Linked DNA regions of Oryctolagus cuniculus. The main gene of each other region encodes a partner of the protein of the gene in region 2 in a complex. Links are inferred from orthologs where the notes say so. Each region holds a gene or a part of one and is shown on either strand. Other genes may lie near its edges.

Region 1 (4,076 bases), on a different chromosome or scaffold from region 2:
CACTTGCCCTACTGTCTCTTTTTTAAAAATTATTTAATTTGAAATGTGAGGAGGAAGCACTCCCATCTGCTGGTTCACTCTGACAAATGCCCAGCGCTGGTGCTGGACCGGGACCAAAGCTCAGTCAGGAACGCATTCCACCTTTCCCACACGAGTGGCCAAAACCCGAATAGCTGAGCCATCACCGCTGCCTCCCAGTAGCTTCATTAGCGGAAGCTGGAATCAGGAGCCAAAACATAGAACCCCGGTACTCCTATGTGGAATGCAGGTGTCTTTTTTTTTTTTTTTTTTTTCAGGCAGAGTGGACAGTGAGAGAGAGAGAGAGACAGAGAGAAAGATCTTCCTTTGCCGTTGGTTCACCCTCCAATGGCCGCTGCAGCTGGCGCACCGAGCTGATCCGAAGCCAGAAGCCAGGTGCTTCTCCTGGTCTCCCATGGGGTGCAGGGCCCAAGCACTTGGGCCATCCTCCACTGCACTCCTAGGCCACAGCAGAGAGCTGGACAGGAAGAGGAGTGACCGGGACAGAATCCAGCGCCCCGACTGGGACTAGAACCCGGTGTGCCGGCGCCACAGGCAGAGAATTAGCCTATTGAGGCGTGGTGCCGGCCACAGGTGTCTTAACTACTGGGCTAAACCCCTGCTCTTGTTTAGTAGGGGCCATTGCATGAGGAAAAGAACCAATGAAAATATGGAAGATTGAAAATACAAGAAAAAGAGAAATTCACACTGATACATTTTATGGACTTCTAAATAAGGTTATCTTTATTTATTTATTTATTTATTTTTATTTGACAGGTAGAGTTACAGACAGTGAGAGAGACAGAGAGAAAGGTCTTCCTTCCATTGGTTCACTCCCCAAATGGCACTATGGCTGGTGCTGCGCCAATCCAAAGCCAGGAGCCAGGTGCTTCCTCCTGGTCTCCCACGCGGGTGCAGGGCCAAGCACCTGGGCCATCCTCCACTGCCTTCCCGGACCACAGCAGAGAGCTGGACTGGAAGAGGAGCAACCGAGACTAGAACCCGGTGCCCATATGGGATGCCAGCGCCACAGGCAGAGGATTAACCAATTGAGCCACGGCGCCAGCCCCCAAGGTTATCATTTTGATAGACACTTAAATCTATCCAAACAGATCTTACAAATTTTGATTGCATTTTAGTTTATTATTTTTCACATTATTTGAAATGGAGAGAGAAAGAGGAGACAGAGAAAGAGATCTTCCATCCTCTGGTTCACTTCTCAAATGCCCACAACATCCAAGACCAGCCCATGTTGAAGTCAGGAGCTCAGAATTCAACCCAGATCTCCCACAGAAGTGGCAGGGACCCAAGTACTTGAGCCATCACTTGCTGCCTCCCAAGGTGAACCCTGGCAGGAAACTGGATGAGAAAGAGAGAAGCCAGGACCTCTGACATAGGATGCAGGTATCTCAAGGGACAATTTAACTGCTGTGCCAAATGCATGCTCCCCAAATTGTCTAACAAAGAATGTTTCTGTGTGTTCCAGTGTGAGGCCAAGAAATGCAAACTAAAACAGTGTGCAGGCTCTCTGCCTTTGTGTTTCCCCATCACCCATGTGACGGTTAGACGTCTAGGAATACGCATTTTTTAAAAGCTATTGTTAGTGTTAACATTTCTTTTTATCTTCTTGCAGCAGATTAGCCATGGAATCTTTCTCCGCTGAGACCAATTCCACTGAATTATTCTCACAGCCTTTGGATAACCCCCTCATGATTCTCTCTATGGTCCTTCTCAGCCTCACTTTTTTATTAGGGCTGCCAGGAAATGGACTGGTGTTATGGGTGGCTGGCCTGAAGATGCAGCGGACGGTGACCACGGTTTGGTTTCTCCATCTCACAGTGGCAGACTTTATCTGTTGCCTCTCCTTGCCCCTCTCCCTGGCTCACTTGGTTCTCAACGGATACTGGCCCTATGGCTGGTTCCTTTGCAAGCTCATCCCCTCCGTCGTTATCCTCAACATGTTTGCCAGCGTCTTCCTGCTCACAGCCATTAGCCTGGACCGCTGTCTCGTGGTCTTCAAGCCAATCTGGTGCCAGAATCATCGCACTGTCAAGACAGCCTTGACTATCTGTGGGTGCATCTGGGTGATGGCCTTTATAATGTGCATTCCTGTGTTTGTGTACCGGGAAACGTTCACCTCACATGGCCATGAAATGTGTGGCTACAATTTTGATCTCTACAGCTCACTAGATTATTCAGACTTCCCCTTTGATCTCGATTTCCTGGAAAACGGGTCTTTTTACAACTCCATTGTTCAGCTGCCAGGAGACATGGATATTGGGTTAGATCCTTCCTCTATCCAAACAGATGAGCAACTGTGGACAGCAACCATGGACCTCCATTCTCAAACATTTCAAGGACCTTTGAGAGACTCATTCCCCACAAGATTATCTCATCAACCTCCACGTGATAATTTATTCAAGCCTACCAGTGTCGTTCCACCTACAGTTCCCAATGGGTTTCCCACTGAAGAGCATGGAACTAACCCACTGGATCATTCTGGTGCTTTCCTGCCTACTGACTTAGAACTTCTTCCTAGTACTTCTGGACATTCTTTATATGCATCTGAACTATCGCAAGATCTCCAGTATGATTATTTAGATCAATATAAACATGTCAGTCAACCCCTGCTGGTAATAACCTTCACAAGGTTAGTGATCGGTTTCCTACTGCCCTTTGTCATCATGGTGACCTGTTATACTTTCATTGCCTGCAGAATGAAGCAGGGTCGCTTTGCTAAGTCAGGGAGCAAAACCATTCGCTTGGCCATGGTGGTGGTGACTGTGTTTTTTGTCTGCTGGGCTCCATATCACATGGTTGGAGTCCTGTTATTGTTTTTTGATTCAGAAACTCCCTTTGGGGAAACACTGGTGGCCTGGGACCATCTATCCATTGCTTTAGCATCTGCCAATAGTTGCTTCAATCCCTTCCTTTATGCCCTCTTGGGGAAAGATTTCAGGAAGAAAGCAAGGCAGTCCTTGCAGGGCATTCTGGAGGTGGCCTTCAACGAGGAGCTCACACACTCCACCAGCTATACCCGAAACAAGGCCTTTTCAGAAAGGAGCACCATCAGCACAACTGTGTGAAAATCTGGAGCAGAGGTTCTGACCTAGCGGGAGACATTCCCCACAAGATTATCTCGTCAACCTCCACGTGATAATTTATTTAAGCCTACCAGCATCGTTCCACCTGCAGGATGAGGGACATGGTGGACAGAAGAATGTGGAAACCTTCAGTCGAGTATGGTCTCCAAGTATGGTCCTGGACCACTGCCCTCAGCATCACCCGGAAAGTTGTTAGAAATGCAAATTCGCAAGCCCTATCACAGACCTGTCGAATCAGAATCTCTAGGGGATGGGGCCTGGTAGGGGTTTTAACAGGCTTTCATGTTTCTGATTAACACATAATCTGAGAAGCATTTCTACCTCAAACTAAGCCATGTGAGATAAATGAAAATCAAATCTGTTTTTTAATATTTCCATCATTACATTTTTTCCTTAATATCATCTAAACCCCCTTCTAGATTAAATTTAAAACAGCAGGGGATGGTCCAAATGCTTGGGCCCTTGCTGTCTCTGTGGATGGAGTTCCTGCCTCCTGATTTCAGGCTGGTCCAGAGCTGGCTGTTGCCATTTTGAGAATGATCCAGCAGATGGACAATCTCTCTCTCTCTCTCTGTCTCTATCACTCTGCTTTCAAATAAATAAATCTTCTTAGAATACCACCAAAAAATTTTAATTATTAGAAGTATCTTTCAGGGCCAGTGCCGTGGCATGGTAGGTTAATTCTCTGCCTGTGGCACTGGCATCCCATAGGGGTGCCAGTTCTAGTCCTGGCTGCCCCTCTTCCAATCCAGCTCTCTGCTACGGCCTGGGAAAGCAGTGGAAGATGGCCCAAGTGCTTGGATCCCTGCACCCATGTGGGAGACCAGAAAGAAGCTCCTGGCTCCTGGCTTCGAATCAGCGCAGCTCCAGCTGTTGCAGCCACCTGAGGAGTGAACCAATGGAAGGAAGACCTTTCTCTCTCTCTCCCTCTAACTGTCTATAACTCTTCCTCTC
Region 2 (4,151 bases):
CATAATAAAACGACTGGATGAATTCCTACTGACTCCTCTGTGACCTGTGGCCCACCCTCTGGGAGGGGCTGTAGCAGAACTGCTTTAGGTACACTGTGCAGGCAAGGACAGCACTGGGCCTGCAGGAAAGGCTCTGCATAATCCACGGGCTTCTTCTCCCTTCCCCTCATGTTTTCAGCGGCTGTAAGTAAACCTGCTGGAGACTCACAAGGCTCTGGGGGAAGTCACACAGCTGCCATCTCTGGCACTTGCACACACACACGGCACTTCACGGTTCAAAAAGGGCTTCTGGGCACAAACATTCTGCTTCCTTTTTTAAATTTGAAAGAGTTAAAGGGAGAGGGGGAGGGAGGGAGGGAGAGACAGAGAGAGATATCGTCCATCTACTGGTTCACTCCCCAGATGGCCACAACAGCCAGGACCTTCTTCCGGGTCTCCCACGTGGGTGGCAAGGAGCCCAAGCTCTTGGGCCATCTTCCACTGCTTTTCCCAGGCCATTAGCAGGGAGCTGGGTGGGAAGTGGAGCAGCCCACATGGGACGCCGGCCTCACAGGCGGTAGCCTTCCTGGCTGTGCCACAGCGCCAGCCCCACATTCCGCTTCCTCACTAGGGAGCTGGCAGCTGCAGCAATGGGCATGTTTCTTCAGCCCTCTCTGAATCTCTGCAGGTGCACTCCCTAGAGGCAGAGGGTGTTCCCATCTCCTTGACTCTGAGGATAGTCACAGGCCTTGCCGTGGCCCACGGAACGGCGTGGGGGCAGCAGCTTGTCCCTAAGGCAGCCCTGGGGTCTCCGTGTACTCGGGGCCTATATCATCATTGTGAACCTGCCCAGCCTTCCCCATTCACCCCAGAAAGAGGAGCTGGGGTGCATGGCACAGAGCTGAACCCACCCTGGGTCTTTGATCCTCAGCTGAATCAGTGACTCAGTTTGGGGAGGCCTGTTAGCATTGCCGCAGCAGTGCCAAGCACTCTAAGTACGTAATCCCCATTTGATAGGTGGGGAGCCTCGGAGCTCCAGAGAGGAAGGCACTCGGCTAAGGCCACGGTGCGACTGGCAGAGCTGGCACTCGAGACTCAGAGCCTTCTGCCTCCACGGCCGCCGCTGGGGGCAGAGCTATGCGTGCTGAGAGCAGTCAGGGCCCACACCTCTGATGGCAATGACACCTGATGGAGGAGCTGGGAGTGGGGCGGCAGGCCCTCTGGGGTGGAGGTGTTGTCCTCGGGCTGGGTGCAGTGGTTATCACTGGACGATTGGTCCACTGCGAGCCCGCCGATGAAGGCCGAGGAGAGGCAGACTACACGGCCCAGGACACGAGTGGGAGGTACTGAAAACCCACAGGCCTTTTTTGAGGGCGGGAGAGACACAAAGGGAGGGAAGTCAGCAGGCGTGTGGTCAGCAGGTTTCCGTATCGAAGGGGTGGGGCAAAGCCCTCTAGGCCTGCTGGCCACACAGCCACTCAGGTGGAGGGTCTGTCCACGGCACAGGGTCAGTGGAAGGGTTGTGGCAGTGGTGCCCCTGCCTGCCCAGGGAAGGAAGTTGCCCCTGGCCTGGAGGCTGGCCAGACACGCCAACCCTGCTCACTCAAATCCGGTTCCCTGGGGACAGCGTCCTGAATGCCCAGCCCTTGGGTTCCCAAGTCACCCCCAGCTGACAATGCGGGGCTGCCCAACGAGACAGCCTGGCTCCCCAGGGTCAGCACTGGGCTGCTGAGTGCCTGCCCTGGCGGTGGTGACCTGAAAGGTGGCCGTGGGGCCTGGGCTCTGGGTGCCTCAGGGAGGCAGTGGTGACTCAGGGAGGCGTGGGCTGGAGAGCAGGGGTGGGGCCTGCACCTGGGGCTAGGAACAGAGCGAGGCCTGTGAGTCAGGGCACTGCCCCCACCCTGCCCCCCGGTGCCTGGCTGACCTCGGGCAGTCTGGTGCTGTCCCAGGCCAGAGACTCGGCCAAGTCTTCCAAGCTTCCTCCTGGGGCCCCGCTGTCAGGGTCTCGGGCAGCCCAGTTAGAAGGCGGCAGCATCCAAGTGCCAGGGGAGAAACACCCCCCGCTGGGCACCCCAGAGCCATGGTGCTACGGGGGCAGTGTGGTTCTCTCTTCAACTCTGTGCTTTCTGCTCCTGGGCTCGCTCCTTGAGGGGCGACTGGAATGGATGCCCTCCACGGTGGGGGGGGGGGGGCGGGGGGAGCTGCATTTGATGATTCCTGGACTCTGCCGCCCAGCCCGTGGGCCAGAGCCCTCCTCCCTGCCTCACCTCCTCATTGCCCTGTGCAGGGGCCGGGGCGTGGTCCTGTGCGGCAGCACCCTTCGGCTTCCTGTTTTGCTCCTCATCTGGCGGCACCGCTACGGGCCCAGCTTCTGGAACCCATAGGCCTGGAGCCCTGCCGGACCGATCCGCCTTGAAGCCTCCCAGGTCCGGGGTGTGGTGCCTCCGTCCTGCCTCTCTTCTGTTTCCCGCCAGGCCAGAGGCTGTCGGTTTCCTCCTAACATCAACTCTCCCCTTCTCCTTCCGGACAAGAAGCCCAAGAAGGAAACACACTGATGGCCACAGACTACATTTCCCGTTTTGCAGCGGGGCGTCCTTGGGACTGGTTCTGTGCAATGAGATGTACGCTGAAAGGCAGCGACGGGTTTTAAAGGGAAGGGGCACCCTATTTCTCTTACTTCCTCCTCCTAACGCCCAGAACTTGGGTGTGATGGCTGGAGCTCTCCAGCCGACTTGCATCATGAAGACAAGGTCCGATCCTAGGGAGAGTGGGACAAGGATCTCCAACCAGCCTGGCTGGAGGAGGTGCGGCACTATCTGGAGTCAGACCGGCATTATTTTAACGGTTTTTCTTTTGTCCACTTAAATTTCTATCTTCAGCTCTCTGCTGTGGCCAGGGAGTGCAGTGGAGGATGGCCCAAGTGGTTGGGCCCTGTACCCCATGGGAGACCAGGAGAAGCACCTGGCTCCTGCCTTCGGATCAGCGCGGTGTGCCGGCCGCAGCGCGCTGGCCATGGCGGCCATTGGAGGGTGAACCAACGGCAAAGGAAGACCTTTCTCTCTGTCTCTCTCTCTCACTGTCCACTCTGCCTGTCAAAAAAAAAAATTCTATCTTCTCAAAGCCGCTATTTTCAGGGTCTCTGGTTCACTGTCAAACCTAACCCTCATGGGTACAGTAATACTCCTGCTTAAATTCTTCCGATAGGTTCCCATCATTCCTAACTCGCAAACTCCTCACTGAGGCCTTACGAAGTCCCTGCCTCTTTCTGTGTCCTAAAACCCTCTCAGAGCTCCGGTCCTTCTTCCGCTCCCCAAACGAGCCGGGGCAGCCCCAGCCCACCTCCCTCTCAGCGTCCCCTTCTCAGCGAAGCCCTCCCCTGGCCCCAGGCCAAGCTGCTCCACAGGGTGCACCCATTCCTGTCCCAGCTGCTGCTGCTTGCACCTGTCCTCAGGGCAGGGACTGTGTCCCGACCTCACGTGGCACCTTGGGCCTTGCAGTGCTTTGTGCATGGCCAGGGCAAACAGATCTCCTGCACTGTAAGGCCAGGCACGCCCCACTTTCTGACTCCGCCGCCCCCATCTGTCCACTGCCTCTTCTTATCTTGTCGGTCTGGACAAAGCTGGCATCTCACTTCAACATCGCAGCCGCCCTACTGGGGTGGGCACCCTGTGTGCGTGGGTGACTCGCTCAGGGTCACACAGCTAGTCAACAGGAGGGCCTGGACTCAAAGTCCACCTTCTCCCCGGCATCCCGAGCCACAGCCCTGGGCTTGTGTCTCAGACAAGGCCTGGTCACCCGAGGCCAGCACTGAGGCCTCCCTGGCGCTCAGCCCAGCCCCTTGAGCAAGGGGGAGGGAGGCTTGGAAGGGAAGGGGGGCTTTAGTGCCCAGCCTAACAAGCAATGGACAGAACCAGAGGAGGCCTTCGTCCCCCCCCCCCTATCTGCATGCCTCGGGGCCAGGGCTCCTGCTGAGCTCGGCCTTCCCATCCCGAGCGCCTCCTGGGCCAATAGCAGGGGGTGTTTCCCAGCATCCTCCCTGCTACAGCCCCTGTGCACCGCTGTGCACTCCCCCTGAGGCAGAGCACACCTGCTGTCCAGGCATCTGAGCTATGACTAAAGACAGGAGTGCGGCCAGGGCAGACTCGCTGGGTGCTGGGGTCTGAGTGTGTCCC

The links.
Region 1: the proteins of GNAO1 (region 2) and C3AR1 are in contact, whole or in part, in a cryo-EM structure (PDB 8I95), measured with the Homo sapiens proteins. The link is inferred for Oryctolagus cuniculus from reciprocal best matches to the Homo sapiens genes GNAO1 and C3AR1. Residues at the interface, in NP_066268.1 of Homo sapiens: Ile28, Ala31, Lys32, Asp33, Val34, Asn194, Leu195, Ser264, Asn316, Glu318, Tyr320, Asp341, Ile342, Ile343, Ile344, Ala345, Asn347, Leu348, Arg349, Gly350, Cys351, Gly352, Leu353, Tyr354; in NP_001313404.1 of Homo sapiens: Asn57, Asp119, Arg120, Val123, Val124, Pro127, Ile128, Gln131, Asn132, Arg134, Asn135, Tyr356, Ile359, Arg362, Gly366, Arg367, Phe368, Ser371, Lys374, Thr375, Val378, Leu438.

Annotation. Positions count from the first base shown.
Region 1 is NC_091440.1:101,922,827-101,926,902, reverse strand, and holds the start of C3AR1 (C3a anaphylatoxin chemotactic receptor), read left to right. Parts: upstream 1-1,237; 5' UTR 1,238-1,381; coding exon 1,382-1,422; intron 1,423-1,651; coding exon 1,652-3,104; 3' UTR 3,105-4,076.
Region 2 is NC_091449.1:40,103,751-40,107,901, reverse strand, and holds the start of GNAO1 (guanine nucleotide-binding protein G(o) subunit alpha), read right to left. Parts: upstream 2,812-4,151; 5' UTR 2,721-2,811; coding exon 2,247-2,720; intron 1-2,246. UniProt on the Homo sapiens protein: Guanine nucleotide-binding proteins (G proteins) function as transducers downstream of G protein-coupled receptors (GPCRs) in numerous signaling cascades.